Coturnix japonica: one gene and its partners. The protein of the gene in region 1 purifies or fractionates together with the protein of each later gene. This does not show direct contact. Links are inferred from orthologs where the notes say so. Each region holds a gene or a part of one and is shown on either strand. Other genes may lie near its edges.

The links.
Region 2: the proteins of USP10 (region 1) and EIF4G1 purify together in Homo sapiens (affinity purification with mass spectrometry; 4 studies listed by BioGRID, with this or other methods). This does not show direct contact. The link is inferred for Coturnix japonica from reciprocal best matches to the Homo sapiens genes USP10 and EIF4G1.
Region 3: the proteins of USP10 (region 1) and SIRT6 purify together in Homo sapiens (affinity purification with western blotting; 4 studies listed by BioGRID, with this or other methods). This does not show direct contact. The link is inferred for Coturnix japonica from reciprocal best matches to the Homo sapiens genes USP10 and SIRT6.

What each region holds. Positions count from the first base shown.
Region 1 is NC_029526.1:14,977,464-14,987,307, forward strand, and holds part of USP10 (ubiquitin carboxyl-terminal hydrolase 10), read left to right. Parts: intron 1-1,439; coding exon 1,440-1,485; intron 1,486-5,449; coding exon 5,450-6,475; intron 6,476-9,844. UniProt on the Homo sapiens protein: Hydrolase that can remove conjugated ubiquitin from target proteins such as p53/TP53, RPS2/us5, RPS3/us3, RPS10/eS10, BECN1, SNX3 and CFTR.
Region 2 is NC_029524.1:13,907,219-13,918,037, reverse strand, and holds the start of EIF4G1 (eukaryotic translation initiation factor 4 gamma 1), read right to left. Parts: upstream 6,434-10,819; 5' UTR 6,315-6,433; intron 5,476-6,314; exon of another isoform or gene 5,456-5,475; intron 5,149-5,455; 5' UTR 5,088-5,148; intron 4,166-5,087; 5' UTR 4,132-4,165; coding exon 4,057-4,131; intron 3,946-4,056; coding exon 3,859-3,945; intron 3,579-3,858; coding exon 3,546-3,578; intron 2,669-3,545; coding exon 2,648-2,668; intron 2,435-2,647; exon of another isoform or gene 2,356-2,434; coding exon of another isoform or gene 2,317-2,355; intron 2,066-2,316; coding exon 1,892-2,065; intron 1,585-1,891; coding exon 1,485-1,584; intron 854-1,484; exon of another isoform or gene 835-853; intron 1-834. Other genes in the region: PSMD2 (26S proteasome non-ATPase regulatory subunit 2), read right to left, coding at 7,439-7,528, 7,608-7,775, 7,938-8,021, 8,199-8,344, 8,431-8,532, 8,616-8,778, 8,903-8,990, 9,067-9,194 and 6 more.
Region 3 is NC_029543.1:1,707,977-1,718,738, forward strand, and holds SIRT6 (NAD-dependent protein deacetylase sirtuin-6), read left to right. Parts: upstream 1-3,737; 5' UTR 3,738-3,819; coding exon 3,820-3,885; intron 3,886-4,553; coding exon 4,554-4,681; intron 4,682-5,052; coding exon 5,053-5,235; intron 5,236-5,391; coding exon 5,392-5,451; intron 5,452-6,015; coding exon 6,016-6,111; intron 6,112-6,348; coding exon 6,349-6,429; intron 6,430-6,591; coding exon 6,592-6,715; intron 6,716-7,173; coding exon 7,174-7,509; 3' UTR 7,510-7,638; downstream 7,639-10,762. Other genes in the region: ANKRD24 (ankyrin repeat domain-containing protein 24), read right to left, coding at 1-62, 205-293, 384-514, 1,514-1,582. UniProt on the Homo sapiens protein: NAD-dependent protein deacetylase, deacylase and mono-ADP-ribosyltransferase that plays an essential role in DNA damage repair, telomere maintenance, metabolic homeostasis, inflammation, tumorigenesis and aging.

The DNA of each region.
Region 1 (9,844 bases):
TTAAATTTGTCCTTGATCTGGTTCAGTTCAATGTTTTAATTATCTGGATGATGGAAAAGAAGAGATAGATTATGAAACTGAAGTGGTGTTTGACATACATTCTGTTTGGAGACAGTGCCAGCCCTGGGAGTCCCAGCACTTATTGGTGCTGGTGTCCTTCTCAAGTCCCTTACTTACTATTGTCAGAGGGAAGAGACTAATTAAAGCTGAAAGTTGTCTAAAATTCTCTTCTAAAGTGACTTTTTGAACATATGTTTTATCAGATATCAGTTGGCTGAGTTTATTCAGATGACCCAGTTGCATGAAACTTAGAAATCTCTTCTGTACACATGGTGGTGAATAACCAGATGTATATAGTTCCCAGCAAATGGGCTGTTGTATTTAAGTCTTTTTTTTCACTTGCTATTTTGGTAAGCTGTTGGAATCAGAAAAAAGGAATGAATTACAAGTTTCATTGTAAACTGTTGATTATACAATGTATGTGCTTAATAACTTTACTGTAGAAGTATTTTCTAGCTACCACTGACACACTGTTGTCCACAGTGCTTTAAATAGGTAGAATGTAAGGATTTTCACTTCTATGGCATTGAAGACTTCACAGGATGCTTTTGAAACTTGTTTTGCTGTTATATCAGTATTATAGCCCCATCAAACTGGCTGATGTGTCCCACTGGAGAAAGAGTTCAGCTCTTCTTGAGGCAGCTGTGGGGCTGCTACGTAGCATTGGCAACCAGTTCATGGCAGGCACAAGAGAAGAGGTATTCAGCTGCTGGGGAAATCTAGGGGGAGGCCATGGAGGCTTTAGAAAATTCCCATCTCAGATTATACGATAGAAAAGGTTCTGTCAATCTTTGAGTCCATAAAATGATACCAGTATTTACAGTCCAGATGGTTTCTGTGTGCTGGGATTATTTCCTGCTTAGATCGATCATCAGAAAAACTTGTTTTAAATGTAATTACTTCAGCATTACGTAGAATGTTGCTCTTGAAGTGTTTCAGCTAGTAGCTGAACCAGGTTGAGAGTCAAAAGGTTTAGGTGAGAATATCTTCTGCATAAAGCTCTGTTTATATCCTTTCTCAGGTAATATGGTCTATCTTTGCTTCAGCTTTTACTTGTAAAGAAGATTTGTTTCTTGTTTTTAAAATCGTGATGAGTTTGCTGATGAAGGAGGATCTTGATACTGCGAGGTGAAGTGGTTGAGAAGTTGATGAGCCTATGATGTGTAACCAAGATAATCTTTATCTTTCAGTGGTGGTGGTAATCTGCAAGGACACTTGAAGCTACAGTACGGGATTTGATAAATATAGAACCATGAGTTCAAGACACTCTCAGAAAATTAGACCTTAACAGTGGGGTTATTCTTAAAGTATTCAGATGTTTCAAATGAAATTGTTATTAATCAGAATTTATTTCATTTCCTTTTTGTTTTTTAATACAGCTTCCCCCTTATAATGAAACAGTCTCATGCGGCATAAAGTCCACAGGTAAGTGTTTCATCATGGTGGGAATTCAACATCCACTCAGGAAAACTTAGTTTTGGAACTTTCCCTACAACTACTACGGGCTCTCTTTAAATTTTTTCTTTAGAACTCAGCAGGTATATCGTCATGTTGCTTTTTAAAGCCCATACGTTGCATTGTACTATTTGAAGATGTTGTATTAAACATCAGCTGATCAGCATGGACATACTTCTCAGTCGTGCTGCCACACAATCTTGACATCCTGCTCAAATAGTGTAGAATGTAACTGTAGATGTATGAAGGACTTTAGCTTGCTGGTGAACTTGTACAGGAGAATCTAGTGGAGTTTCTATTGTGAACCTTAGGGAAGAGAAAGAAAGCTGAGTTAAACCCAGACAGATATGAGAATGATACAAATGTCATCTAGACCCTCTTCTAGTTAATCCAGATATTTGACTGGCTGTTTCTCAGAAGTACTTGTGAAGGTCCAAATACACGTGTTTACAAACTCTTGAGTTATTATGTTTAGCAACTTTGGCCTTGCATTTAAAAGTAAATAAGGTAGTTATAAAAGGGATGAGAGGCCTTGCATGAAAGCGGGTTAACAGCACTATTGAAAATCAGGCGGCTTTTATGTGTAGTGTAAGACTAGTTTTAGGATCCCAAGTAATTTTAAGTAGGAGTTTGAGAAGTTCATTTAAAGGGCTGTATGGTGGTACAAACTGTTACTGGTGATGGGTGCCCAGTCATACGCTGCTTTGTCTAACTACGGATTTAAGCTGTGTTCTTTAAGATGTAGATTTTGATGTTAACAAGCTGTACAGAAAGTTGGTTTGTACAAATGTTTTTCAGATCATTCCTAGATCGTGAGAGAATCCCTCCCTACCCTGAGATTAGGTAATGACAGCGAATTAGGTTTTGCCTGACAAGTGTCTTTAACAGGCTTGCACTGTACTGTGCATGCGTATTATCGCTGTGGTGGCTGCATAAGGAACTGTGGAAACTAAAATGGAATGCTGTGCTTATGCAGAGTATTTGTAATTAAATTGAGATGACACGTACTGACCACATTGTCACCTTGTAGCCTAATTTTTTCTACTCTGAGTATTTAATTTTATTACATAATTAGAAGACTTGTTAATACTTACCAGGAATAATCAAATCACAGCTGAAGCTCTAATATTCAGACTAATTAGTACTAAATGTTCACAGCTTTGGTTATTGTACATAGACTTTGTCCTGGGAGCGTTTGTTGCTGCTTGTTTCAGTATGCTGTCATGTTGTTCCTGACAGATGCATCTGTTTCAGGCCGTTCACCAATTGTACTGTGAACTAGATTGAAACAAACTTGCCCAGAAGCCAAGTGGAAAATGAAAACAAATAGGAAAAAAATTACCTCTTGTTTTTCGGAGGAGCTTTATATGATCTTATGGCAAATGAGCTCCTGCTGGGCAGCCCATAGACTAACTATAGAGTAGATGCTGCTGCTTATCATTTAATTTCTGCTGCAAGGTGTGAAGTTCAATTCCTTGCTTGCGATCTCCTAATTTGTATTTAATGCCAGAATATCACTTAGGCTCTTGGTTAGATTTTGTCCAATGGAGTCATGTTGTGCCTTCAGCTAAATTAACCTGCTGTTGCAGTGTTCTGTTTTCTGCTTTCTTCTTGCCCTGGGTTGGCTCTTGTGATTGTCTAGTCCATGGTAAGCTGATTAGTCCACCAGAACAGAAGAAAATACTCTCTTGGACTATTTTTTGCCAGGTTAGCTTTGGGCAGCACATGTATTGGAAGCTTACAGGAGGAGCTGTTGAGGAGGGTGCACCTGAGACCTCTCACTTTTGGCTGTGGTAGACTTAACTCATAAAAGGAAACCCCTATCTTTGTTTTAATGCAATTATAGTTATTTTTTTTTTAAACTGAGATTTTGAAGAAGAAACAGATGTCCAGAGTGTTTGCAATTGGTAGGAATCTGAAATGTGCACAGTCATTCCTTCTTACTGTGGTTGACAATATCACACGTCACCAGTGGTAGAGAACCAGCTCTTGGTTTGTGTGTGAACTAACAAGTAACTACAGAAGCAGATGAACTAATCAGCAATAGCTACGGTTTGGATTGGTGTCTCTTAAAACCCATGCGCTGCATTTGCAAGCAGAACAGTGACTGGTTGTGAGCCCTGTGTCCTGGTGAGTCAGCCTGTGCGTAGCCCTGGTGAGCCGGTTAGTGCAGAGTGAGGTGACGTCCCTTCCCTCTTAGTTGGATGTCATCTCTCCACCTCCCTGCCTCTGGGCTGCTGATTCTAGAAAGAATTAAGCCCTCTCTTCTGCGTGGCGTCAGGCAGCGATTGCAGAATTAGTTGGTGAAAGGTGACTTGACAGGCATGGTGTTGGAAAATGCATTCACCCAGGTGTGTGGGGAGGGCTAAGAAGGTCTGAAGTTCAGGCTCTTGTTAGCACTGTTTAGGGAAGTCAAATTATTATTGGGAGACTTTTTTCCTCTCTTCATGTTTCCTTCAGTCTAACTGGCAGCAAGATTGAGACATCAGATGTGTTTACTTCACATTTAGATAATAATAATAAATAATAAAGCATTGAGGGAAAAGCAGTTAACATCTGTATTTACTTGTTTTTATATTGGCATGAAATTATATTTGGAAATGGTGTGAGGTATTCATGGTGTAAAATATGATATATTATTACTTGATTTTTTTTTTTGCTTGATAATTTGTAGTATTTTGTTATTGCATGTATCAGACCTCAGCACACACTGAATATGTGTTACGCTTCATTTGATATTATATAAACCTGTACATTTCATCATCATTATTTTCAGTTAGTGTTTTTCCCAGCTGGCTTCTGTAGGTTGCAATTGAAAGGATTTGGAACAAAATATTCTCCAGACTCTGTCCTTTCATAGGAAGATAACAGATAACAGTCTTAGATAAGTCTTAGATGTTTGAGGTGTGCTTTTTAGCTCCCCATCTTTTGAGGGAACACAGGATGTAAAACTATCCTTGAAACAGTGACATCTGTATCATAGAAAGACCTGCTAAACTAAATGACCAGTAAGCACTATGACGTGGATTCACCTTTAATGCTTCTGAGATGCCAAACGTTCATTAGTTTCATCTCTTCGTGGAAGTAGTTACATCCAAGATGGTCAATAGTTGCAGCACATGCATTATAAAACTAAGTTCCATGAAGTTGCAATGCTTTGCAGCTGGTAATATATAGTGATATTGCAGCTTCCTATGAGTATTTGTCTCATTTCTTTAATGATGTCAGGTTGAATTTATAAAACATAACCCACCAATTTTTCAGCACTGATTGTAGTATGATTTGAATGCGGGCTTAGATTGGGGTTTATCTGTTCCATTAGACTGATTTCAAGATGAGAAATGCATCACGCTGTACATAGTCATAGATTTGGCTGTTATAAAACTTGCTAAGCTATCGATGAGCAGAGAGTTCCAAAAGCTGCAATCACATTGTTTCCATGCAATTGAAAATATTATTCACTTAGTGGTTGTTGTAAAAATCTTTACATGCCGTGGAAAAGTGTGAGATAGATTTTTAAAGGCTTGTGCTTTCTAATTTTCTGTGGAATAAGCTGGCTTAGGAAGAAGCACGGGGTTAAATATTGCACCATAATTTGTATGCACTTGCTCAGTAATTAATTTAATTCAGAATATTGCTAACGTCATTGGGTTTCAGTTGCTCTTAGTGGGCCAGTTTAACAGGTGCTCCTTGCACAAACAGTGCAGCAGCTTTGAAAATTGCAGACTCAGCTTAAAAAAGGCTCCATGGGTTTCAGGAAAATGATGTTTTAGAAACAGTCTTTAGGCTTGATACAAAGAGTAAGAATGGTGGTTGTTTGAGGGAGGGTCGCTTGTTTTCTGAGTTGCAGGAAAATATATATAATATATATATTTTTTTCATGTTTTTTTGCTTGATGTCATTTAGTAACTCAGCTTTACTTTTTTTTCTGCAGGGGAGGAGTATCAGAGAATTGAATTTGGTGTTAATGAAGTTATTGAGACGGAGTCTTCTGTACTAAATAACACCGACTACAGTATTTCAAGCACTCTGAATCCTCAGGCTCCAGAATTCATTCTCAGTTGTGCACCTGCTCAGAAAACCCCTGATGTCAGCCTTGGTGAAACAAACTACAACTCAGTCGACTGCCAGTTCTCTGACCCTACCCTCACTCTCGATAGTGGTTCTAATGCTGAAAATGACGGCTTGTCTGGAGGCCTTGGACAGAGGGAGCGTAAAAAGAAGAAAAAAAGACCCCCTGGATACTACAGTTATTTGGAAGATGTCAGTGATGGCATGGCCCCCACAGAAGCTCTTGTAAATGGCCATGCAAATTCATCGGGACTTAACAGTGTCGGCCCGGAGGATACAGAACTGACAGGGGAAATCCCTTCTCTGGCCACACCAAGGACTTGCAACAGCCCGGACAATTCTGTGGACTTCGTTCATGAAGCTGTTTCTGATGATTCTGTTTCTAGCGCACTAGACAATACCAGGACTGCAGGGCAGCCTGAGGTATGCAGGGTTACTAATTCTGAACAGTTTTGCATCCCCTCAGAGACTGGCAGAGATAGCCCTTTAAGGACAGCTGTTGTACAGCCTTATGCTGGTACTGATACTACTGAAAGTCTTGGCGTTACTAATGGACAAACACTTGAATCCTCTGGTGAGGACACAGCTGCCAATGGGGTAGAATTGCACACTGTGGAAAGCACTGACTCAGACCAAGCTAAGCCTGAGGAAGCTTCACCTACTACTGAGGCAACAGCTACGGTTGCAGGATCAATCCCTGTTAATCAGCCTGCGAAATCGTGGGCTAGTCTTTTTCACAATTCCAAGCCCTCTGCTTCCACATCTGTGGTGTATGTTGAGACTAAGTATACCCCTCCTGCCACATCTACTCTTGTCCCTGAAAAACAGGTTGAAGTCAAAGAGGGACCTGTTCCAGTTTCAGAAGATCCTGTAGCCATAAAGATTGCAGGTATAGTTATTACACATGAGTGGATATTACAGTTAGAAGAGTGTTATTAACTTTGCTTGTAAACAGGAGTGTGCAGTATTGATAGAGAAGGCTCCTTTCCTAATGTTCTAAGGGTGAATGTTAGGACACAGGTACGGAAGGGGTAATTTAAGCTGCTTACCTGAGTAAATATTGCAAGATGTTATCATTTGAGCCAGGTGCAGGAAAAATACTGCTGCTTTTCAAACAATGTGCTTAAATGATCTGTGATTCCTAAAAATAATGGACTAGTTGTATTCAGCCATGTGATACTGTAACAGGGAGGGCCTGATAGAAAAGCTTGTGTCTCATCCAGTACTTACGATTGTGTATAATGCCTTGCAGCAAAGAGTGTTAATGTATTTATACCAAAGTAGATGAAATTCCTGATCACTTACAGTAGCATAAATGTGATGGATAAACAGGTTCTGCTTCAAAAGTTCCAATTCAGCAGACAGTAATTGGATTTATTGACGTACTGCTGGAATGGTACGTCTTGCAAATACTGAAGAATGATCTTTAACCATTTGAAAGTATGTTATTTTATTCAGATTAACAGTGCTATTCATTGCCTGTTCAAAAGGGTGATCGTAAGAAACTGTCCAAAGGGTACATTCAGAAAGATGATGTGATATAATGTGATATGTTGGTATTGTCTGTGGTTGTAATGAGCAGTACCAGAACATGAATGTGATTGCTTTCCAACTGAAACTACATGAAGAAAAATAGCCTGTTAGTTATATTTTGTGTCACTACACAAAAATAATTATTTTTAAATCGTGAAATAGTCCAAGTGGTGGAAAACATTGTGTGAAATCCCACTGATTTATACCAGAAGTTAATTTATAAGCACAGCAGCAGCTCACGTGTGGCGACATCAAGACAAAGCTCATTCTTCTGCTATAACTGGAAGCTGATGTGGAGATTTCAGAGCAACCTGCAGCGTGTACCTGCCTCTCATCCACTTGCTCGCTCAATGGTTTCACAGCCTACAACTGTCTATTGAGAGTAAAGCTAATTCTGTGTCTCTTTCACTTGGGCGTCACAAACACAGTTGACTGTGGCAAAGTGTTTGTACATACAGGTGGTGGTTTGTAAGAACCTGTGCATGCAGCGTACTTCATGCTTTCAGAAACTTAAGCTGTCAGGTGGCAATGAGTCTTAAAACTGTTTTGTGGCAACTGTTACAGTAGAACTTCTTACCAAAGCTGTAGGCTTGTCTGGGTTGCTGCAGCTTTAGCTTTGTAGACATGGGGTGTTTCTGTACAGTTTTTTGCCACCAGGTGGGAGCAGCGCCTTTTCTTTTGTCTCTAGTATATTGAAATAGCAATATTCCTTCGCAGTCTTCTTTTGTATCTTCGCTGTTGAGGAGGAGTAGGTTGTTTATCAATCCTTCTCCAGTGGAAAGGAATCCATCTTATTCTGGTTAATTTAGGTGGGAATCATACTCTAGATGACATGCACCTGGTTTCACTATAATACACAGTGCCTTGCTCTGAGGAAAGAGGGAATTTCTTCATTTTCTTCTTTTTCTTTTTTGATGTTAGTCTTGCTTGGAAAGAAGTCCATCAAGTGCTTTGCTTATGCATAAAGATCAGGCATAAATTGAGTTCAACAAGCAAAATTAACAGGTCTTCTGACAGTGAAAGTGTGCAGCTTTCATTTGAGGAGGGTGCTCGAGACACGAGAACACAAATGTCTTTCCCACAGACAGTTGAATTTTGCCAGTGATTACAGGGGGATTAATGGTTCACAGGCACCTTGAAATGAATTTGCTGCTATTTGATTCAGCCTGCAGAAGTCTGTGGCTTCTTAATCCTCAAATGTGAATGAAAGCTCACGGGATAAAGAGGTGAGAATCAGGGCTAGAAGATAAAACACTTGAATAGATTTCATGTCACTCTTTGTTGGGGAAGAATTACTGAACAGTTTTAGTAAGCGGCTGAGATGTGCTGTGAGCATCTGGCAAGGAGTCAAGGGGTGGTCACTTAACTGTGTGCTTTGGTGAGTAGGAATAAATTCAGTGAGGGAATCTAATAAGATATTCTGAATCCTGTTTCCTTGCACTGTTTCTGTTGTGTAGGTGATGGAATTAACAGTGCGTATAAAGTTTGTTTTGCCACAGGCAAAATTTCACATAAAGAACACAAACATTGAAAACGTGAATCAATCTGGAGTGCTTTTAAATTAAAAGGGAGGTAAAATCCAATACAGATAAGTGTGGAAAGGTGTGTCAGAAGTAAGTGCATGCGGACAGTATGAAGGGAAAATGGTTGATAATAGTAGTAGGGAATAAGAGGATATGTTAATTCTAGGGAGTTTATGCATATCCCTAATAAAGTTGAAGGCTAAATTATATTTCCAGTTTGTGTTAATACCAGTTTATGTAGAAAAGATTGAAGATGGCTCTTAGAACTCTGTTGTTAGTAATGGGGACTTGATGAAGAAGTTGGCTCATCCTCAGGCTTTAGTTCTGTAGGGAGATGTAACAGGCAGAGAGAAGAAACATTCAGAAGCCACGTTGTTTCAGCAAGCATGGAAGTTTGGATTTATTTGTTTCAGAAGAGTCTGTAGGAGCACGACAATGGCTCTAACATCAAATATCTGAAAGAAATGCATGAAGACTACAGTGATTCGTTGCTTTCTGAAGACAGTAGCAAGGCAAAAATTACTTCGTTTGTCACAAAGGTTCAATGTCACAGCAAACATGGAAATGTTTTGGGTTTGTTTTCAAACCAGAGCCATGTTCCATAATTACATACCAACAAAAGGGATGTGAGTTCCTTCTGGTTAGTGATGTGTGCTTTATAGTCAGTTCTGACACTCTTAAGAAACTTTCCTCATGATTGTAAGTGTATTTTGCCTTATGATGCTCTTGTAAATATTACTGCCTAATTTTAGATTTGGTATGAAAACGTGGTACGGATGTAATCATGTAAAGCAAAAAATCTTTGTGTTGAAAGAAAACTCACTGCAGTTCCTTTAGACATTATTTAGAAGGCAGTTTTATGACCACAAGAGGATGCTAAAGTCATAGTAATACTTTTATTCAGTGTGACAGGAGATGAGGAAAAATACATTTAACCTGAAAAGTTATTGGTTGACATTAATTAAGAGTTATTCTCATTGTCTTTGTCCTAATTTTCAACAGCAGTTAATTATATTAAGAAGATTGAATGGTGTGGGCAACCCATTTAAACTTTGTTCCATTAGTAATGTATTCTGAAGTTCTTGAATGTTAATAATTTCATGGCAAGTGTGTTTCAACGTGGAAGAGTTTTCATCTGTACCCTTTCAGGTGCCGGGTTCCTTCTGTAGCCAAGCACTGAGATATCTGTCTTGTGGTTTTAA
Region 2 (10,819 bases), on another chromosome or scaffold:
CACCGGCTCCAGGACACCGCCAGTCCCTCCGGGATGCTGAGCCATGCTTGGGTGCAGGAGCCCTGGCTCCATGGGTTCTGCCTTCCTGCCAGCAACCTTATCTCTCCTGGGCCAGCAGCAGCCTAAGGGCGGCTCCACACAGCCCCATCCACGCCCTCCATTCATTCACACCCTTGGGCTCCCCACTCAGACCACTGTGAACTGAGCTCACAGCACTGAATGATGCTGAGGGCTGGATGCAACACTGGGCCCTGATCCAGACCCCAAAAGGTGCTGTGTTCCTCCCCAAGTTATCCATGCAATGAGCTTCTTAGGTAGGGCTGGCATCAGCCAGGGCTGCATCGTGCCCCAGGCTGGAAGCGACTGCAGTACCTGCACAGGGAGGGACAGGGGCAGCTGTACCCTGGCCTCCTCCCACCTCTAGCATTTCTCAGCCACACTGAACACAGAACTCACTCAGTGACACACTGACAGCCACTTTGCCCCCATTCTGGTGACCCACGCGTGACACAAAGCCAGCCTGCCTGCCCAGGGAAGCAGCTTGGGGTTGGGGCCAGATGTTAGGGAAGCCATGAAGCCACAGAAGAGGACCCCAGTGATAGGCTGGGGGAACATCAGAAGGGCCTCAAATCCCTCTAGTAGCTAGGGGGATGGGGAAGGAGGAGACCCTAAGACTGCAGGCTAGGGGACAGAACCACCCAGCACGCTCCAGGCACTATGGAGCAGTGCAGCAACAGGCCGAGTGCTGGGACTGGGCCCAGCTGGCCATGCCTGGGGCCACCTCCTCCCTCCGAGGGGCTGATGGGACAAAAGGGAGGGAGGACAAACACATACCTGGCTCAGGAGAAACCCCTCTCCGCCCCAGTTTGCTTTGCTGCCATACCGGGGACGGGACGGAGGCCTCAGCTCACATTTCTGAGTCTGCCAGGCCTCCCGGGAAGGACCAAGCCTAAATATAGTCACAGCCTGGGTGGCTGCATACAAGCCGGGGGAAGGAGGGGGGGCTGCTTTTACCACCACTCCCCAGCTCCGGGAGAGGGCAGGCGTGGAGCAGTCACTGCCCAGACCCTGCTCACCCAGGACATGCAGCTGGCTCAGGCAGGGGAGGCAGCACCAAACAACCACTCACCACCAGCTTGCAAGCCAAGGGGAAAAGGGGATAAAGTCTGCCCTGTCCCTCTGCCTGGGCAGTTAAACATTAATCTGTCCCGATTTGGAAAAGGAGGTGGGTGGACAGATGGGACACGATGCACGGCCTTCAGGAATGCACTGGGAGACATAGAGCCCCCCCTAAGATCCCAAAAGAGCACGTAGTGGCGTCAGCAGTCACAGAATGCACCTCACAAAACCCAGAGACACAGGGAATTTGTGCTCAGCCCACCAATTTGTGGGGTTGCAGGGAGGCCAGAGTCAGAGGAGCAAAAGGGATGAAGCATCGTGGATGGAAGAGCAATGGCACACAGAGTAATCCCCCCAGTCTGTACCGTAAGTCCCAAACTCTGTGGGGCTGGCTCCAGGGTAAAAACTAGGGGCACCAGGCTGAACTGGGTACTGTTGTGTTGGGACAACGTACGTTGAACGACCCTGAAATAGGGGAGAAGAAAGTTGGTTATATTCCCAGCAGGGCACAGGCAAATACCAAACCAGTGCGTGCCCCAAACCTGCGTGCCATTAAGGCAGGGCACAGGACACAAGACAAGCATCAAGTACCCAGGGTTAGCCCACAAAACCCCACAGGTGCTGCCCCTCTGCAGAGCTGGACAACACCCTGATGGAGTCAGGGACAGCTCAGAGAACCAGGGTAACCCCCTCCACCTCCCAGAACAAACTTGGGCTCCAACCCTGAGCCCACCCCAGCCCAATCCCGCAGAGCCCGGGGCACAGCCCTCACCTGTCCGGGAATGTAATAGGCTCCTTGGGAAGGTGTGTAGGATATCTGGGAGGGTATCATCATCACCTGGGAAGCAGCTGGATACACATGGGCAGGAGGGCCAGGCCGGGCCGTTGTGTTGCTCTGCACGCGGGACGCGCTGGCAGGAGGCTGGGCCCTGTTCTGGTAGAAATGCTTTGGGAGAGACAGGGATGCAGTGAGGCCAGAGCAATAGCACCCCCCTGCCAAAGGGACGAGGCAACCGAGCCAGGCCCCCCCTCTAACCCAGACAGAAGGTTCACAGCACCTATCACCCCAAAACTCATCCTAGGCACAGGGAGCACCCCTGGGTGGAGATTTAAAGAGGGGAGCCCCCCCACCAGAATGCAGCTCACCCCTTACACCCCCTCCCCTCCTTTCCAGGCACCCCCTACTGCCCCACACACCTGTGGGGGGCCCACCTGGCTCCATCCGACCCAGCTCATGCCCAGCACAGCCCACTCCCAGCCCAGCAGGGCCGGCAGCGCCCGGAGCCGGCCACGGCTGCACGCAGCTCATCGGCACGTCCCAGCGTGCCTTGCAATGGGGGCCGGCACTCGCGCTGAATGCCGGGACCTGCAGTCCCACTGTGCCATGCTGCAACGTGCAGGACACGCAGCCCCTGCAGCACTGCTTTACTGGGTGGCAGCACCCCAGGGCTGGGGAACAGGCAGCAGGGAAGGAGGTGTCTGCACGTCTGGTGTGCAGGGCAAGGCTGGAGCAAGGAGAAAGCATTACCTGGAGAGACCTGAATCCTCCCTGATAGCAAGTGCACGCAGACAGAGGGAGAGGGGAAAGAGAGAGAGACAGGAGTTACACTGCCGCGCTGGGGTGGGATGAGGGGATGGGGTGGTGAGAGGGGACGGGGTGGGAGTGCAAGCGTGGTGCTGTGGGATGGAGGAGCAGCAGCCAGGCTGCCAGTGTGATGGCCACATCCCAGATCCACCCATGCTGGGGGACGCGGGGAGCTGCCTGCCCCTATGGAGGTCCCTATGGAGCCAGGGGGACCCAGCACAGTGTGGATGTCACTAGGTTTGTGCCCAGCTGTTCCTTGGAGCTGAATGAGGCGCTTTGCTCAAACTCCCAGGGGCAACAGCTGCAGCGTTGCAGGCAGGATGCAGGGGGACACATCCAGCTTGCTGGGCACAAGGCCTTGTCCACCTCCTGGCACTGTCAGGTCCCAGCCCCACCATGGCTGCAGCCTCCCACAGCCTAAGGGACATGCTGGGTACACTGCAGAGAGACACTATCACTCCCAGGGCACTGCATTAGTCAGGGACAGGCCAGCAGTGTGACACAACTGCTGCCTCAGGAGACCCCCCCCACACTCCACCCCACAGAAAGAAGGAAGAAGAAGATGAGGAGAAGGGCACAGGCAGAAGCAGAGGCCTGGGCTGGGACTAGCACAGGCAGAGCCACATGCACTAGACTTCATGCAAAAGCAGCCAAGAAACTCGGGGACACCGCAGTGAAACCCCTCCAGCTGATCCCACTGAGTAATGAACCTCTTTCCTCCAGCCTGCTCCCCCCTGGGGCTCGGTGCAGCTCCCCACGTTCTCCCCAAGTGTTTCTGTGCAGCGCCAGGTGCTGGGGCTGCCCCGGGCGCTCAGCATGCAGGGTAGGGACTGGTTAGTACCTGCTGGTGAATAGCACGAGGCCCTGCTGGAAACTGAGAGAGGAGAGAGCAAGGTTTGGAAAGGGGAGGAAGGAGAAAAGAGCGGTCACTTGTTGGGTGCCCTGCAGGAGCTGTCTGCCCTCACCCCAGAGCCAGGGAGAAGGGAAACCATGATGGAGATTGGGGGCAGGTGCACGCCAGCCCCCTAAGGCAGGATCCTCATGCCCCCAGCACTGCTGTGGCCAACCAGGAAGAGCATGGGCTGCTCAGTCAGGAGGCTGCAGATCTTAACCAGCTCCCCAAAGCCTCATCTTCCCCATAGCAAAGCCCTTACCTGTCGTGGCTGAGAAGGCGTATTCATTTGTGAGGTCGGTGTCGGGTTAAAAATCACAGGTGCCGTCTGACCAGGTGGGAACGCTGACTGCATAGAGGGAACCAGTGGGCACTACAGCCTCTAGAAGCCTCATCCCAAATCAGAGAGGCAGCTGGGCACCTCCCACCCCCAAAAGCCATCGGAGGGGCCGTCTATTACCTGTGGAAGTCCGGGAGAAGGGGCAGGGTGCGGGGCTGTCGGGGCTCCTCCTGTGGGCTGTGGAGCTTTGTTCATTTCATGTGGTTGTGCATAAGGATCCCCTTGCTATCTGCAGGCACAGGCATAAGCTAAATGGCATCGTGTTCACAGCCTGCAGTAATCTCCTATCCTAAAACAGGGCCACGCAGCCCCTCTGAGAAGCTCCAGGAGCTGGGGTGGAGTTGGACAGAGGCTGACGCCGGGGTGCCCTGGCTCCACCCCGGCTGACCTACAAAGCGCTTCCCCTGGCCGGCCAAACCTGTTCCTGCCGGTGGTGCCAGGAGCCCAGCTCATGCCGCAAACGCCTACCGGGGAGGGCAGGGAGCAGCTCCCACGTCCCCCCCATGCCACCACACCACCACCACCACCCCCACCTCCAGGGACACAGCTGGGTCCCAGGAGGGACTTGGCACCATGTTCCACGCTTCCTGCCCGAGTGCAAAGGGCACCTGGGCAGGAGAGAGGAGGTGCCCCCCACGCTGCAGCCCATGGAGGGGGTCCCTGTGTCCCATGGCAGCATTAGGGCAGGGGGGGGAGCCTCACTGCCAGCAGGGCTGCCCCACGAGCAGTGCCTGTAACCCGACGCCTGGCTGCGTCAGCAATTGCCGGCCTGCCGGCCCCCCAGCCCCTCTGCTGGCCCCCCTGCCCTATGGTGAGCAAGGCACAGCCTACCCCCCTCACTTTCCTGTCACCCCCCAGGCGTGGGGGTAGCAACCCTCAGAAGGACCCGCAGCACCAAATACAGCCATCAGCCCTGACACCATCCAGGTGCTTGGATGGGGCCCGATCCTATACTCAGGGCACTGACAGTGCTGGCTAATGGGGGGGGGCTAAAGGGATTCAAGGTACAGCAGGGGCAGCAGCTCTCTGGGACAGCCAAGGCACCGGGCCTACAGACACACCGAGCTGCCCACCACCACCACAAGGCCGGGCCCACAGGGAGGGACACCACAACCCGGCCCCAAAGCGCCTGCACGGCGCCCCATACTCACCCCCCCGCGGGAAAAACCTGGGCCGACTGATCGGGCCTGCAGAGACCTTTCATCCGACTGACTGGGCCGGCAGGAGGGGAGAGAGGGGGGGAGAGACACAGTCAGCCCGAGGCATCGCAAGGGGCCGGCTCAGGCCGCGGGTCCCGCTGCCGGGCTCCCGGACCCGCTCGGGCCCAGCCCCGCCCCGCCGCCAACCCCGGCACGGGGCCGAGCCGAGGGGCCGCTCGGTGCCCCCAGACGCGGGCTCAGGCCGCACCGCAGGCGGCACAGGCCCGGCCCTACAGGCCCGAAGCGCCGCCCGAAGGGATCCGGGCCCCGCGGCTCACAGGGCGGCTCAGGCCCCGCGGAGCCCGTTCCGTGCCGCCTACCGGGCTCGGACACCTCCAGCCTTCCCCCCCCGCCGTGTCCGTGCGGCCGCCCGCGTCCCGCCGTGCCGTCCTTCCTCCCCCGCCGCGGGGCGATGACGGGGCCGTTCCCCCGGGCCGGGTCGAGCCGCCGCGGCGTCTGCCGGGCCCCAGCACCGCCTGACGCGGCCCCGGACCGGCCCGACCGGCTGCGGGCGGGGGGCAGAGCGGGGCAGAGCGGGGCGGCGGTGACTCACCCCGGGGCGGAGGGGAGGTGTGTATGTGTGTGTGTGTGTGTGTGTGTGTGTGTGTGTGTGTGTGTGTGTGTGTGTGTGTGTAGGGGGGGGGTGTTAGGCCGGAGGGGCCGGCTCCATCTTGGCGGCCCCGGGATGAGGAAGGAGCGGAGCGGGACACGGCGCGGGGCCCAGGGCGGCACCCGGCGCTTCGCTCCCCCCCGCGGCGGCGCGGCCTGTGCCAAGGACACGTGTCACCGCCGCCCGCCGCCATGGCCCCGCGGCCTCACACCGGGCCCGGGCGGGGCGCTGGGGCGCGCCACGTGCGGCGGAGCGGCGGGGCCCGGCGGCGGAGCACGTGCACGGCGGCGGCACGTGGGGAAGGAACGGGCGCTCGGGCCGGCTACACCGGAACGAGGGGCCGAGAGACGGCGCTTAGCGCGGATAACGGCGTGCAGACCGGCGGCGCCCACGTGGTAGCGGCGGCGCTTGTAGCGGTAGCGGCGGGGCCCGGCGGCGCGGCGATGCCCGGCGGTTCCACGCCGCGGTTCGGTTCACCCCGCCGCACTCGGTCCCGGTGCCGGTGCCCCCCCCCCCCCCCCCCCCCCCCCCCCCCCGCGGCGCGCTCCCGCCCCGCCCCCGCCCGTTACCTTCAGTCTCCTTCAGCGCGCGCGGCCCGACGCAGCCGCAGCGCAGCGCAGCACGACCATTTCCGGAGCCAGCGCGCAGCGCAACCACGGGGGGAGGGGCACAACCAGCGGGGGAGGGGACACCGACCGGGCGGCACCGAGACCGAGCGCCGCCCCCCGCCCGTGTCACGTGAATGGAGGGACCGGCGGGGGCACGGACACACAGCGCGACCCTCGGAGCTGCACGGTGCGCTGGGTGCTGCCCGACGGACAGGCTCAGAACTGAAGGGCAGCACAGCAGCACCGATCCACGCAGACTTTATTTCCTCATCTCCCAGTAACAAATAAAAACAACCCCCCCCCCCCCAAAAAAACCCCCAGTCATTCTCCCCCCCCCCCCCAACCACTCAGCCCCCAGCCCCCCTCAACAGTCGTAGTATTGCGGTTCTTGCCGCAGGATGGGGGAAAAAACGAAGCCCTCCAAGATGGGGGTTGACGGGCACGTGCTCCTCGGTGGCCAGCTCTGCCCCGCCTCGCCGTGTGCCAGCAGCACAGGGGTGGTGTGGGTCTGGAAGCCGGTGATGGTTTTGGGTTTGCCCGCTTGGCCCACCACATCCACAGCCTGCAGGAGCAAGCATGCTGAGATGAGGAGTTATGGGATATAACCCCCCCCAGCCACCCATATCAGGCTCCAGCTCCTCACCTGTCCAACCCGAACCGATACAGGCAGAGGACGCAGCTCCTCATCGAAAGTTGACCAACATACGGCGGCCTCGCATGGCCGCAACCAGCCCGTACAGGACATAGTGGGACTTGCCCAGGATAACTGAAAGGGGATGAAAGGGAGAGTGTGAGTGTGGGAAGGAGGGGATGGATGAAACACTCTATGACACGTTACTCACTGTTGCGCACATCCAGGAAGGACACGAGGACGGTCAACAGTCAGCCTACAGCCACCGTGGCTCATGAGCTGCCCTATGCGCTGTTGCGTAGGGGCACAGGGTGAGCGTCCCCTTACCCAAGTGGGTCAGGCCCTGGTGTGGCACAGAAAGCACGTGAGCACAAGTGGGGCAACACGTGGTGGCCCCCCCATCCACAGCCACCCCCATCTCTTCCCAACCACAAGTGTGGGATCATCACCTGGGCTAACCGCACCATGAAGAGGTTGTTGGGGTCCTTGGCGTGGTACTGGGCGAGCTGCCGCAGCATTGCAGCCAGCCGGGCGTTGTTGGTACCTGGAGAAGGCAGGGATTGAGGCACCGGCCTGGTCCCATGGCTGCCCACCATAACACACAAGCTGCCACCCAGGCTTACCACTGCCCACCATGCCCATGGCAAAGATAGAGTTGTAGGAGACTTCAGGGTCAGCATCGTGGGAGAACTTGCTGAGGGTGTCCAGGATGTTGAGACGGGGGTTAGAACAGAGATTAGCGCCAGGGCCAGGGGCACAGCACGGCGCAGGGTGGGCTCCCCATACCGCAGCTGCATGGAACAGAGAGAGAGAAGATATTAAAACCCAGGTAGGGGCAAGGGCACGGTGGGGCATCCACAACCCAGCTTACCAAGGCCAAGATGTGAGAGAAGATCTGCCCTCTTCATCCAGGTCCCTTCCCAGCCCCACATTGTCCCCCAGCTGCCACTCACCAGGTGACCAAACGTGCGCAGGGCCATCTCTGCACCAATCTCCTCACCCATGGCAATAAGTGCAATGCCCAACACTGCTACACCCTGCAGAGACACCAGTACTGAATGCCAGGCAGAGACCACCAACTGCAAATGCAATCTCTTACAGCCCAGCTGGACAGCGAGAGCAGAGGATCCTGCTGGGGCCACTTCCTCTGGGTCTGACTCCAGACAGGGCAGCTACTGGGCCTGGGCCGCAGGTTCCAGCCCAGGTTTTCCTACCTGGTGTGCTCCCATGTCAGCTGAGTTTTCTTTCTTCTCTTTCTCCTTTTTGTCCTTCTTGTCTTTGTCTTCCTCTTTCTCCTTGGAGTCAAAGTGCTCACTGCAGATGTGCAGAAGCTGCTGTACCTTCAGGACATTCCCTGAACCTGTGAGGTCAGCAGTGGGTAAGGATGAGCAGAAGGAAGGCCTGGTCCCACTCCCACCTCCCTCAGCCTTGGTCAGCTCAACGCACCAGCATAGGCACAGATGTCTACCAATGTGTTGGCAAAGCTGCGGAACGGCTCCGACACCACCTCCAGCGCTGCCAGGATCGCCTCGATGGCTTCTCCCTTGCCTGTGAAGAGGCACAGAGTTCAGGGCACCCAAGAGATGCTCACAGTCCCAGCTCACAGGACCACCAGTGCTGCCCTTTCTTACCCAAGTGGTTCAAGCCCAGGCCAAGCGGCAGCCACCGGGCATAGGTGTCCTTCAGCTCCGTCTCTGATTTCTCCATGATGGTTTGGAGGATGGTGGAGGTGACATCCCCATTGCAAGAGCCCACAGATATCATGCCACAAGCCAGGGCCGTCACACCAGCCACCTGGGGAGGGAGCCATGTTCTTAGGGCACAGCACATCACACAAGGACATGCAGAGCCCAAACCAGCCCCAGCATCCCCAGGAGCTGTCAGGGACTCGTGCAGCACACCCTGCTCTGCTCCCTACCTCCATGCTGGACTTAGAGTCCCCCATCACTGGCAGCAGCAAAGTCAGGACATCCTCGCGGTTGGAGCCCGCGTAGGCCAGCCCCAGCCTATGGAGAACAGAGAGGAATGTCAGGGATGGCTGCACCATCCCACACAGCCAAGGACGCCAGGGCAGACCCTTACCCAAAAATGGCTCCGATCCGCATGGTGTTGCTGTTGTGGAGGACATAGTCAGATAGCAGGGCCAGGGCAGGGTCGCATTCATTCCTCACTCCTGAGTTGACGATGCCACAGGCCAGCAGGGCACCCGACTATGAAACAGAGGCACCATTATGCACTAGCCACCACCACATGGAGCTCCCTGCCAGCCAGTGACTCATGTCACCCCACAGGTTACACTTGCTCCCCAGGACAGGCTGGTTGGTACCAAGTGAGTATGGGGCTGAGATCAGTGCCACTCACCTTAATGTAATCCTCTGAGGAATAGAGGTACTTGTCAATCTGTGTGAGGCCCCCATCCACGTCCCACAGCAGTATAGTGCCCAATGAAGCTGCAGCACTCAACATTCCTGTTGAGTTCCCAGGTTCCCAGGGAGAAAAGCCCAAGTCAGTGTGACCAGCCTGGACACAGCAGGGCTGTACCCAACTGCCACACTTTCAGCAGGGCCCACAAAGGGTCACAACCCCAAGCCCACAGCCACCTCCAACCCTCACCGTGGTCTTTGTTCTTGTACAACCATTTATTGCCATCATCTGTCAGCAGCTTGTCTTGGCCGAATGCAGCATTTACAAAGCCGTTCACGAAGGAGGATGCCAAATTCATCCGGGCTGAGTCCACTTGGGAACCACTGCCCCCAAACCCTGGGGAACAAGATCAGAGTGAGGCAGGCCAACACTCCACTGCACAGTTGTCCCACGCCAGACAGTGGGTGAGGCCCCATCCCCAGCCACAGGGAAGGAGCAGACAAAGCCCACCAGAAGCAATGGGGTCTGCTCTATCCAGAGACAGACAAGGTCAAAACATGAGCTCTTACGGTTATTTTCCAAGTGGGTTTTGTAAATATCATCTGGTACTTTGGGCTCCATGATGTCCAGCTGCAGAGACAAGGGAAAAGAGGGTTATTTCCCCACAGACGCACCACAGCAGCTGTTCTACAAAGACAGCCTTGCCAGCAGGACCTGGCCAGGCTCATAGGGATAAGAGAGCTCTCCCCAGGTCTTGCCACAGAGCACAAAGCCTGGTGGCCAGGGCAGATCCCAGCCTGGAGCAGCCCAGAGATCTTTCTCCAGCACAGTGCTCACCTCTCTAGCCAAGGCCAAGAAATTGCTGTTGAGCTGGACGTTGGACATGATCTCAGTCAGGTCCTCGTACTCCTCCACGTCCTCATTCAGCTCCAGGAAGACCCCATGGCGGCCCAGCATAAAGGCCATCTGCTTCTGGACAACTCTGCAGAGGGAAGAGGCTTTGAAAGCATCCAGCCCCCATAGCCAAACAGCAGTCACATACCTCAGCCCACCCTGCTCAAGCAGCATACAAGAACAGCCCAGAGATGACTGGCTCCTGCTCATCTTTATTTTGGGGACACCAGTATCTGGCCAAGCCCCCAGCCACATCTGACAATGTCAGGATCCTACTCAGCTGTACTCGCCCCCCCGAGCCCAGGGACTGTCTCTACTTACACATCTTTGCAGGAGGTGAAGATGTCCTCCACCAGCTCCACATCATTGAGCATCAGAGCCAGGCGCAGGGCTTCAGGGTAACGGTTGAACTTGCGGAAAATGCCCAGAGCACAGCGTAGGAGAGCAGAGTTCTCAGGTTCTGGGACATAGCTTACGCAGCTTTGAGGAGGAGATGCATATGAGGATGAGTGTCAGCCAATGAAACTGGGCAGCCTTAGCCCACCAAGGGCCAGACAGATGCACCAGTCCCTCACCT
Region 3 (10,762 bases), on another chromosome or scaffold:
CAGCAGCTTGCTCACACACTGTGGGTGTCCGTGCTTGGATGCCAGGTGCAAGGCAGTGTAACCTGCAGAGAGGGACAGACAGACAGGTCAGAGGACAGACAGTGGGTTGATAGCACAAGGGGGACAGATGGGACAGCAGGACCCGCTGGGCTGAGCAGGGCTACCACAGCATTAGAAAGGGGTATATGGTTGCCATGCCCTCACCTGAGCTGTCTTTGGTCATGGCATCCACACCGTGAGCCAGCATGGCTTCAAGGCAATCCACATTCCCCCGGGTGGCAGCCAGATGAAACCTGCAGCAAGACCCAGAGCTGTCAGACCCATCTCTCTCACCTGAGCCCCATCACAGCCCTGTATCCCTGGTGACACAGGCCAGCACTTACGCAGATTTGCCCTCTGAATCCAGCTTGGTGGGGACCAGACCCTTGCGGACGAGGAGGGATGCCACCTTTCCAGCATCATTGTAGTCCACAGCTTGCAAGAGCTTCTCATCGTTCTTGGTCCAGTCCTGACTCTGCAATGAAGCCAACGTGAGGCTGTGATCCTTGTGCTATCATCAGGGGCAAGTAGGATGTTGGACTAGACACAGTTACTAATCCTCATCCCCTCCCCTTCTATCCCACCCAACTCTATCCCTTAGGTGCACTTTCCCAGCTGCTGCTGTGTCTGCTGTGCTGCATGAAGGGTTTATCTAGGAGATCTGATTTGAATGAGGTTCCCCTTCATCCCCCAACCTGTTTGCAGTTCACAGATGGGGGAAGTAGCAGAGCTGCCCCAGTTTAGCTCTGAATGTTCCAAGGTCTTGGATGCTCCCTGATTGCCCCCCACCCAGGGTTTGTTCCTGCCACCCAAGTGACCCTGATGCTATCCATAGGCAGCACACAGGGGTTCCTGAGCCCTATCCCTGCTTGGGTCTCTCCATTTTCAGCCTTGTTTTTCTCCTTTCCAAGGAAGGGGTGAAGTCAGGGCAAGCAGAGCTGACAGTGAGCTCAGGTCCCTGGGGATGACTGCAGCCCAGTGTTGGGTACGATGCTCCTGAGCAGAACTGGGGCTAGGTGAGGGTTTGCTGGCCCATTGGCCCCACACATCCCTTCCTCAGGGAATGACCCACAGCAGAGCAGGAGCTGGGGCTCACCCCACAGCCTGGGACAACAAACCAGAGCTTGGCTGCGGCTGGGAAATGGATGTGACCTCTGGGAACAGCTCACATCCTGCCCCTCACCAGCTGATGCCCAGCGCTAGACAGAATCCCTGTGCCACAGCACCTGTCCTATATAGGGCCAGGGGACCCTGATGTGGGGTGTGGAATAAAACAGACTCCCAGGGTTACTGGGCAAACTGGGAGCGTGATGCTCACCCCCACCCCTTTGTCTTGCAAGGACAAAGCAACTCGGGGAGGATACAGCAGAGCCCAGGGGACAGGGTTGGGAATAGAGGGGGTCCGGACGGGGGTTGGGGGTGACAGCTTACCCCATGTGCAGGACTGAAGGGGAGCGGGGATGGAGGGACGTACCGCAAAGGATGCAGCGGCACAGAGGCAGATCTGCTTCATGGTGTTGAGGAGGAGGCGGCGGGCAGCCATGCATCCCTTGCCTCTCTGCCTGAGCTTGGGCTGGTCGGGGCTCCAGGTTAAGGACCCCAGACCACGGGTCGGTCCGGTACCGCCACCGGGGCGGGGGCCGAGTCCTGCCGCAGTGACAACCGGGATCCGCCTCCTGCCGTCCCTTCGTCCCTCCTTCCTTCCCTCCCTCCTCGGAGCCCAGAGCTTCAGCATCCCTACATCCCTGCATCCCTACATCCCTACATCCCTACATTCCCTATCATCGGCCTTACATCCCTACATCCCTGCATCCCTACATCCCTGCATCCCTACATCCCTGCATCCCTACATCCCTACATCCCTACATCCCTGCATCCCTGCATCCCTGCATCCCTGACTCGGAGCGGGTGCTGAGGTCCCACCAAGCACCAAGTCTGGTCCCAATTAGAGTGGGAGGGTGTGTGTGTGGAGGGGGGAGGAGTAGCTCTCTCACCCCTGTGCCCGAGAAGAGGAAAGGATGCATCCCCAAACTATAGGGACAAACATCCTCCTACTGCCTGCAAGCAGCTCCCCAAGGAGGAGGAAGGATGTAGGACCTCAACCCTGCCCTGAGGGACAGAAACTGATCTCCCATCGCTCTGGGGCTAAGAGGGACACAGGATCCCCCCACCTGAATCTTAGGGGACCAGTGACCCCCTGCAAGGAGGGAACCCCAAAATGCACAGGCTCCTCCACCTACACATCCCCCTGGTGCTGCCATAGGCAGTGGGGACGGCACTGTCACCTTCTTCCCAGCCTGGAGAACAGCAGGAATATGCAGCATTGTGCCAGTCTGGTGCTGAATAATTAAGGAGCATTGACTTGCTGGCTTCAAAGTGGGAACCCAATCTGGTTGCTGTGGCTGGAAAGCTGGCAGCCATCCCTGCATCCCATAGGACAGAAATGGGTACAGGATCTGGGACACATTCACCTCTCCTCGGTGCTGCTTTCCCTTCCTTTATTCTGCCCTGCTCACAACTATGATCCCAGTGGAAGCTGGGTCACTGGGCAGGTGCCCATGTCCCCATGGGACATCCCAGGGCAGATCTCTGTGTCCCCATACCCCCACGAAACCCACTGACACCCCAGGGCAGATCCCCACATCCCTGTGGACAACCCAGGACACATCCCTATGTCCTTGGGGACAGCACTTACATCTGCCTTCCTGAACTTGGCCTTCAGGCTCTTCATAGCAGTCCCGTGGTACCTGGGTTGAGCCTTAAAGCCTCATCTGCCCGCTGGGGTCAGGCTGTAGGGATGTGGCTGTTGCAGAGGGCAGCTTTGAAGGCTTTTCTGCTGCTGCTACGGGTCCAGCTCAACACCAGCCCTGTCTGTACCTTGTCTCACTGCTGCTGGCCCACAGCACGACACGGGGGGGGGGACACACACACTGGCATTGGGTTACCTCTGCAGTTACAGCCCGGGGGGGGGGAACATGGGAGGGCCCAGCACCAGGCAGGGCAAGGAGCACTGACATCCTTGAAACCCCTGCACCCAGACACAGGGCAGCTGCAAGGGAGGGGGTACTATAGCAAGGCTGGGGAAGCCTCAGATGAGGGAGAGAAGGGTTTGAAACCATCACGATGCTTCAGGTTATGTGTTAAGGAGAAATATTTCATTCATAAGGCAGGGAGATGCTGGAACAGGTTGGTTAGAAGTTGGGGATGCCAATTGAAGGCACTCAGGGCTGGGTGGGATCCTGGGGATCATAACCCAGCAGCTGGTAACCCTGACCAGTGTATGGGAGTAGAACTAGATTATCTTTAAGGTCCTGTCCAACCTAAGCCATTCTATCACAGCCCTATTATGGATCTAGGTCTGCAGGCATTGTAAGACAAGGCATTTTAAGACAAGACATTGTAAGACAAGGTATTGTAAGACATGGCTGAGGCCAGCAGAGCTGATGCCCTCTGCCTTTGTATGCACTCATTGCATGGCACCTCTTAGCATAGGCAGCTCCTTGTCTTTTTCCACTCCAAGTTCTATGTTTTATAATGGATGTATTAGCAGGGTGAGGGCAGAGCTCCCTATTGCCAAACACAAAGATGGCGGCGAGGACTTCTCTAGGCGTGACTTTTGCGCATGCGTCTTGAGGCTGCGGCCTACTCTAGGCAGTGCTTTGCGCATGCGTCTTGAGGCTGCGGCCTACTCTAGGCAGGCCTTTGCGCATGCGCACTGATGCCGCGGCCTCCTTGCTCGCGGACCGACAACAATGAGCTCTCCGGTAGCCGGGACGGGTCATGGCGGTGAATTACGCGGCCGGGCTCTCGCCCTACTCGGATAAAGGCAAATGCGGCCTCCCCGAGGTGAGAGCGGAGTGGAGGGATCTCCTTGCATAGCCTGAGGCCTGCGAGGCCTCCATAGGGCCTCCATGGGGACCCCAAGGCCTCCATAGGCCTTGTGCCCCATGGGGACCCCAAGCACCATGGGGTCTTTGGGTTCCCCGGTCCCGGCCTCCGTTCCCTTCTTCCTATTGCTCTGTGTCCGTTGTCACCCCGTCTTCGTGTCCCCTTTATTCTTTAGGGCCGGCCCTTTACCTTGGGGTGGGCACTACTGGGCTGACCCCATCCCTATGTCCCCCCCAACCCCCACATTCATGCTCAATAAGCTTAAGAAAAGCTTTGGGGTGAGGATATGGGGCTGTAAAAGGGTCGGAGTTCTGTCCCATTCTAGGGAGCAAAGAACCGTCCTATAGAAATGAATTTGTGCTGTGCCAAAAATCAGAATGGGCCCATGACCCCCATCCATCGCTGTCCCCCATCCTGCTCTTTTTAAGCCTTATTCCCTCATTTTAAGCCTTATTCCCTCATTATGTACATTTGGCATTAAGCAATGTGAAATTTCCTTTCCTGCGTGGGGTTTCCATTGTGGATGTGATAGAAGAGTGGTTTGCTGACTCTTTGTGCCTACCAGGAGGCATGTAGGACCCATTTCTATATCCCCATTCACGTTGGGATTTGTTTCTTCTGCTCAGATTTTTGATCCACCTGAAGAGCTGGAGAGGAAGGTGTGTGAGCTGGCAGACTTGATAAGGAGCTCTTCCAATGTGGTGTTCCACACAGGGGCTGGTATCAGCACCGCTTCAGGGATCCCTGACTTCAGGTAAAGGCAGAGGGCAGCAGGCACTGTGTGTGTGTGGGGGGGGGGGGACACAACAGCACCTCATCTGAGTCCATCTTCCATCTAGGCTGGGCTTCCTGCCAGCCATCCTGCCTATAGGGAGACCTGTGCCATCCTTTCATGTCCTCTTTGCTCTTGTCTTGTCCTATATCCAGCTGAATCTACCTTTTCCTGTTTTGATTTTAAACTGTACCCACAGAAGCCCTACATGCATTTTGAACTAAAATAACCAGGAATGTGTGGTCCTTGTTTAGCAGTGCCTTGCTTGCACTGATAGGGCTTGGGATGCATTTACAAGCAGCGTAGCAGAGCCTGAGATCTCACTTATTCCTTCTCCTGTCCCATTGCTGCAGGGGGCCTAATGGTGTCTGGACTATGGAAGAGAAGGGGCTTTCCCCCAAATTTGACACCACCTTTGAGAACGCCAGGCCCTCCAAGACTCACATGGCACTTCTGGGGCTGCAGAGAGTCGGCATCCTGAAATTCCTGGTCAGCCAGAACGTGGATGGCCTTCATGTGCGCTCAGGATTCCCACGGTACTGCCTCTCCCACCCTGCCTCCAGGTTCCTTTAGTCTCTCCCAGATGCCAAAGCATGGCTGTTCTCCCTACCTTATTAAACCACCCTGGAACAATGTTTCTTGTGTTAAATGCACAAGGTGTTCTCCATTCATTTCTGTCATTTCTCTCACAGGGACAAGTTGGCTGAGCTCCACGGGAACATGTTTGTGGAGGAGTGCACGAAATGTGGCAAGTACGTGGGCAGCAGCAGGTGGGGGCTTTGTTGTTGTCCTAAGGAACAGTGGAGGGACTGCACAGACCTGGGGCTGCCTGTCAGGAGAGGTCCCTAGTGCAGAGTGCATGGAATCATGGTCAGATCTGTCCCATCTGAATCACAAACCCTGTCATATTGTGGGAAATAAACATTTTGAGAAACCTCTGTTGCCTGGGAAACCCTCTGCTCATTGTGGCAAGTGAGGCTGCCTGCTTAGAGAGGTAACAGAAGGTTGCTGCAGGCTGGGCTTTGCATCCTGGATGGTAACAGCCTCTCTTGGCCTTGGAGCTGATGTTCAAAGCTCCCTAAAAGGGAAATTATTGTAAGCAATAGCTGTGGTTTGAAATTGATGAAGGATTTGGGTGCCCAGCTCATTGCATGTGGCTCTGAGCCATCACCTGCTTCCTTCACTCCCAGGTGTCTGTGATGTGGAACATGCTGTATTGTGGGGATGTTTCACAGCTGTGTCACCTCTCTATGTGTGGCTGCTGTGAGTCACCCTATACGTGTGGCTGTAAATAACACCATCTCTTGTGTGTGCAGGCAGTACGTGCGGGATGCTGTTGTGGGCAGCATGGGGCTGAAGCCAACGGGCAGGCTGTGCAGCGTCACCAAAGCACGAGGGCTACGGGCCTGCAGGTACGTCTGCTGGGGCAGCTATGGGAGTAGGGGTGCTGGATGGGGCTTCCCAGGGTGCTGTGAAATGAAGAGGGGACACAGAGTACCTGGGAGGTAGGAGTGAGTGATTTTGATGTTCAGATTTTGTGTTGCAGGGCGACAGGGGGTCTGGGTTATAGAGCTGTTACTTGTCTCCTAGCCATCTCTGCTGACCATTCCTGCCTGGCAGGGTAACAGTGGTCCTTGTGTCTCTTATAGAGGGAAGTTAAGAGACACTATTCTGGACTGGGAAGATTCCCTGCCTGACCGTGACCTCACACTAGCAGATGAAGCCTGCAGGTACCATATTTAGAATTGAATATCATGACTGCTGATTGCTGCAGCTTGCAATGACCCAGGAGGGTGTCTATGCCCTTTGCATTCTGCCAGTACCACAGCAAGCAGCCCTTGGGTTTTATTTTTCTTACTTTCTCTCTTGGATATTTTATCTCCTCCCTGCAGAAAAGCTGATCTCTCTGTTACACTGGGGACCTCTCTGCAGATCAAACCCAGTGGCAACCTCCCACTGATCACAAAGAAGAGAGGAGGGAAGCTGGTCATAGTCAACCTGCAAGCAACCAAGCATGTGAGTGAGAGCATCCTTGCTGCTCTACCCTGCTCTTTTCCCTTCACTTGTTTCAGTCCCATCACTTGTTCCCTGCACATTGTCCCTTTCCAAGCAGCCATATAGAAGTGACAGGCTGGGCATCTATTGCTAGAGCTCTATTGTTATTGTCCCATTCTGACCTGGGCTTGCTAGACCCTGGCTTTGCATCCATGTCTGCTTTGCTGGGCTGTATTTAAAGGCACAGACTGCCTGTTCACACCTGGATGCAACCTCAGCAGCCTGCAGCATAGCCAGGGAGCAGTGTCAGGTGGGGCCACGGTCTCAGTATGTGTTCCCTTATGGAAGATGTCCCTGGAGTCTGCGTGCAGCTGAGCCATTGCCCAGTCCCTGTCCCCAGGCACTCCCTGAGAACAGACATTTGTTCCTGTACGTCGTGTTTGTCCCCCTAATGCTGCATTTGTCCTTGCTTACCCCAGGACAAACAGGCCGACCTGCGCATTCATGCTTATGTCGATGATGTCATGACAAAACTGATGAAGCACCTGGGACTGGAAGTCCCAGAGTGGACAGGGCCAGTGGTGGTGGAAAGTGCTGACTCTGCCAAGCCTGAAGAGATCTACACATTTAAGCCCGAGGCTCACGGGTTGCTCAAGGAGGAGCCCTTTCCCCAACACAATGGAACAGCTGGGCAGTGCCCTGACCTTGGGACCACGCTGGTGGAGCACGGTGACAATCTGAAGCAGGAGCGTCCCAGTCCAGGCACAGGACCACCACTGACAAAGAAGATGAAGGTAGAGCCTCTCCTCACCTGACCCAGACTGTTCCCTGTCTGACCAGACACTTACTTGTCTGTGCCACTTTTCCTACCAACTTTTTTTTTTTAATATCCTTAAGCTTTGTCCCTTTTTTTATGTAAGTATTAAATACACTTGAATCATGTATGTCTGGGCAGCTGTACCTGCAGGAAGAACCTCCCCTGCTCCATACAGTTCCTAATCTGTAAATAGGAAGTTGCAGAGCCCAGGCTCTCAGAGGACCCCGTGATAAGGGTGCTCAGTGTTGGGTAGGGGGAGTGACATAACAGGATTGGGCAGCTGTTGCTGTCTTAGAGCAGAGCTGGGTGGTGGTGGAATGCTGTTCTGGTCCCTTTGCTGTGCCCATGACTCCTTCGGCAGCCCTGGATTGAGTGTCCCAGCTCTGCTGTCACAGACAACAGCAGTCAAGGTGTCTTTGAAGCTCTATGAATTACCTGTATTAAACTAAGGCAGGTGATTCTTCTTTTTTGTTTCTTTTTTCTAAAATACTTTTTATTTAGAGATGAAAATGAAGTTTGTTTGTTAAAAAAAAAAAAAAACAAAAGAGAGAGAACAAAACCACCAAGCTGCAACATCAACATCCAGCCAGACCAGGCCTCCTCTGGTACCCCCATCCCCACCTTGACCAACCCACGTCCCTTCCCCAGTTCCCACTGTACTCAGCAGGCAGGAGCAGCCCCTTCCTTCCCTCCTGGTAAGGCCAATAGGAATTAGTCTCCTCTTCCCAGTTTGCAGATAGAAGCAAAGCCAAGTTGGTCTCTAGCATCTGTCCATGCCTGGAGAGGGTCCCCAAGGGTCTTGTCCTAGAGGTGTTGAACTCCACTGTGTCCCCTGCAGTCCCTGGGTGCTGCTTAAAGCTCCTCAGCTGGTTCCAGCACTGTGGGCCTGCTGTGGTCAGCTTCGGTCCAAGCAAGTGACGTCAGGCTTTGGTGCAGTGCAGTGCTGTCCCCCAATGCAGTGCCAGATTGGTCCCCATCACTCTGGCTCAGCCCCTCTGAGGCAAGTGGTGGCGTGTTGTTTCGGGTGGGAGCTTTATCAAGGTGTGGAGTGAAGGAGCTGCTGCCAAAGGCTTTGTGCAGTGTCTCAGTTTCATCCTGATGCTTTGACCACAGTGGCTCTGGTGGCTTCTCATCCCCAGCTCGGGGCTGTGCATAAGCCACACGGGAGGCAGCTGCGTTATGCAGGGACCTGGAGAAAACTGAGCACAAGGGGGAGTCAGGGCTGGCAGCAGTGCCCTCTGTGCAGCCCTAGCATGGCTCCCACAGCCCTCCTTACCTCGCACTGGTCCGAAGTCACCACCTGTCTCAGCCTTGCTAGGGGCGAAAGGGCTGATGGAGGGGAAGACAATGAGTGCGAAGGAGAGCAGCAGGACCTGGGGACACAGGGGTGGTGTTACCATAATGTGGCTCTTGAGGAGGACCAGGCTCTGCAATGTGATTCCCAAAGATGGGGCTGGTGGCAGAACCAGGGCTGTGTCCCTCCATTTCTCCCTGGCAGGACATCATCCGTCCACCCTTCACACATGTCCATCCCTTCTTATATCCATCCAACCCTGGAGCATCTATCCCTACACATCAGCACACCCATCCATCCTTGGCAGTGCACTTCCAGTGATTACTAACTCCCTTGAAGCAAGGAGCCCTGGAGGAGATTTAGGGCAGAGAATGGGGACAAGGAGCAGGGAGCTCCACGCACCGCAATGCAGGTTCCTGTCTGTGCTGCTTTATTGCTCGACTGCACCACCAGAGCCTGGAGCTTCTTCAGTTGCTCCAGGAGAGACCTGGAGATAGAGAGAATGCATGAGAACCCCGAGGTCTGAGATCCACATCCCAGCAGAGTCCCAACCACCCCTTCACCTTCCCCTTTGTCCCCGGTCTGTTCTGGAGACACCTACGAGTTCTGCTTCTCTAGGTGCAGGACTTTCCTCTGCAGCTCCTGGTTTTGAGCTGTGCACGCTGACATCCTGGGGGACAGAGAGAGGGACGTGAGGGGTGCCAAGCATTGTGCCTATCAGCAGCCAACCTGAGGCAGGGGCTCAGTGGCCGTACCGACTCTCCAGCCCATCGATATATTCCTTCTTCTTCTTACGGCTCTCCTGAGCTGACTGCTTGTTTCTGATCTTCCTCCGGATCTTCTTCAGCACTCGCTCCTCATACTGCAGATAAAGGGGTTGTTTGGGCAGCCAGGACCTCAAGTATGGCATCCATTTGTTCCATCTCAGGTACTCACCTTGGTGAGGGGCAGCTGTGTAGGCAGGGACACCCCCTCCTTTGCCAGCAGCTTCTTCTCATCCTCTGTCAGCACAAGCTCCTGGAACTGCCCCTGGCCCTGCCTCAGTAGGGAGCTGGGCATCTGTGGCTGCTGTGGGACCGTGGATGGGTGATGATCCTGGGCTGCAGGCTCACCCCATGCCTGCCCCAGAGGACCACAGGTGGGGACCGTGGTTCAGGGTTGAGGATGACATCCAGAAAGGGACAGGAACAAGACTGCGTGTAGTTTAGAAAGGGGAATAAGTGGGGGAGAGACAGGGAGGGATGAGGGCAGGAATGGGATCATGGTCCAGGAAGTGGCAGGGATAAGGAGGGAGGGAAGGGACAAAGGTCCAAGGAAAGAGACAAGGATAGGAACAAGAAAGGATGAGGGAAAGTACAGGGATGGGGATGACGCCATTCTTGAGGAATGAGGGTGGCATTTAGGAAGGGACAGGACTGGGCACAAGGAGGGATGGGGAACACGGTGGTGAGGACTCACAGCATCAGAGCTGCCTGAGAGCAGCAGATCCTTGACAGTGAGGGTACAGGATGCAGGCGCAGGGACTGTGGACAGACCCCGACCCTCTTCCAGGTAGAAACCAGGGTTCCACATATCTGGGCGAGGACCAAACAAGGGCTGTCAGCTGTGTCATGTCCTTGGCCCCTTAACACCCCCCAGCATCCCCTCTGTGCCCCATACCTCTCTGTTCTTCCTGTATACCCAAACCTCCTATCCCACATAGCTCCCTTAACTTCTCACACCACCCCTCAGCTCCCCAGTGTCTCCTCATCCTCCCAATACTCCCAGCTCCATCCTTGTCCCCATGGCTCACCCAGGTCAATGGAGACCTCAGGGTGGGAGGCTCTGTTGCCCCCAGGGTGCGTCAGAACCTGGCAGGAGTTGGTGAAGGCGTATGGGGCCTCACTGAGCCCTCCATCACAGCACCCGGGGGGGCTGTCGAGTTGATCAGAGGGGGGATCCTCAGAGATTCCACTGT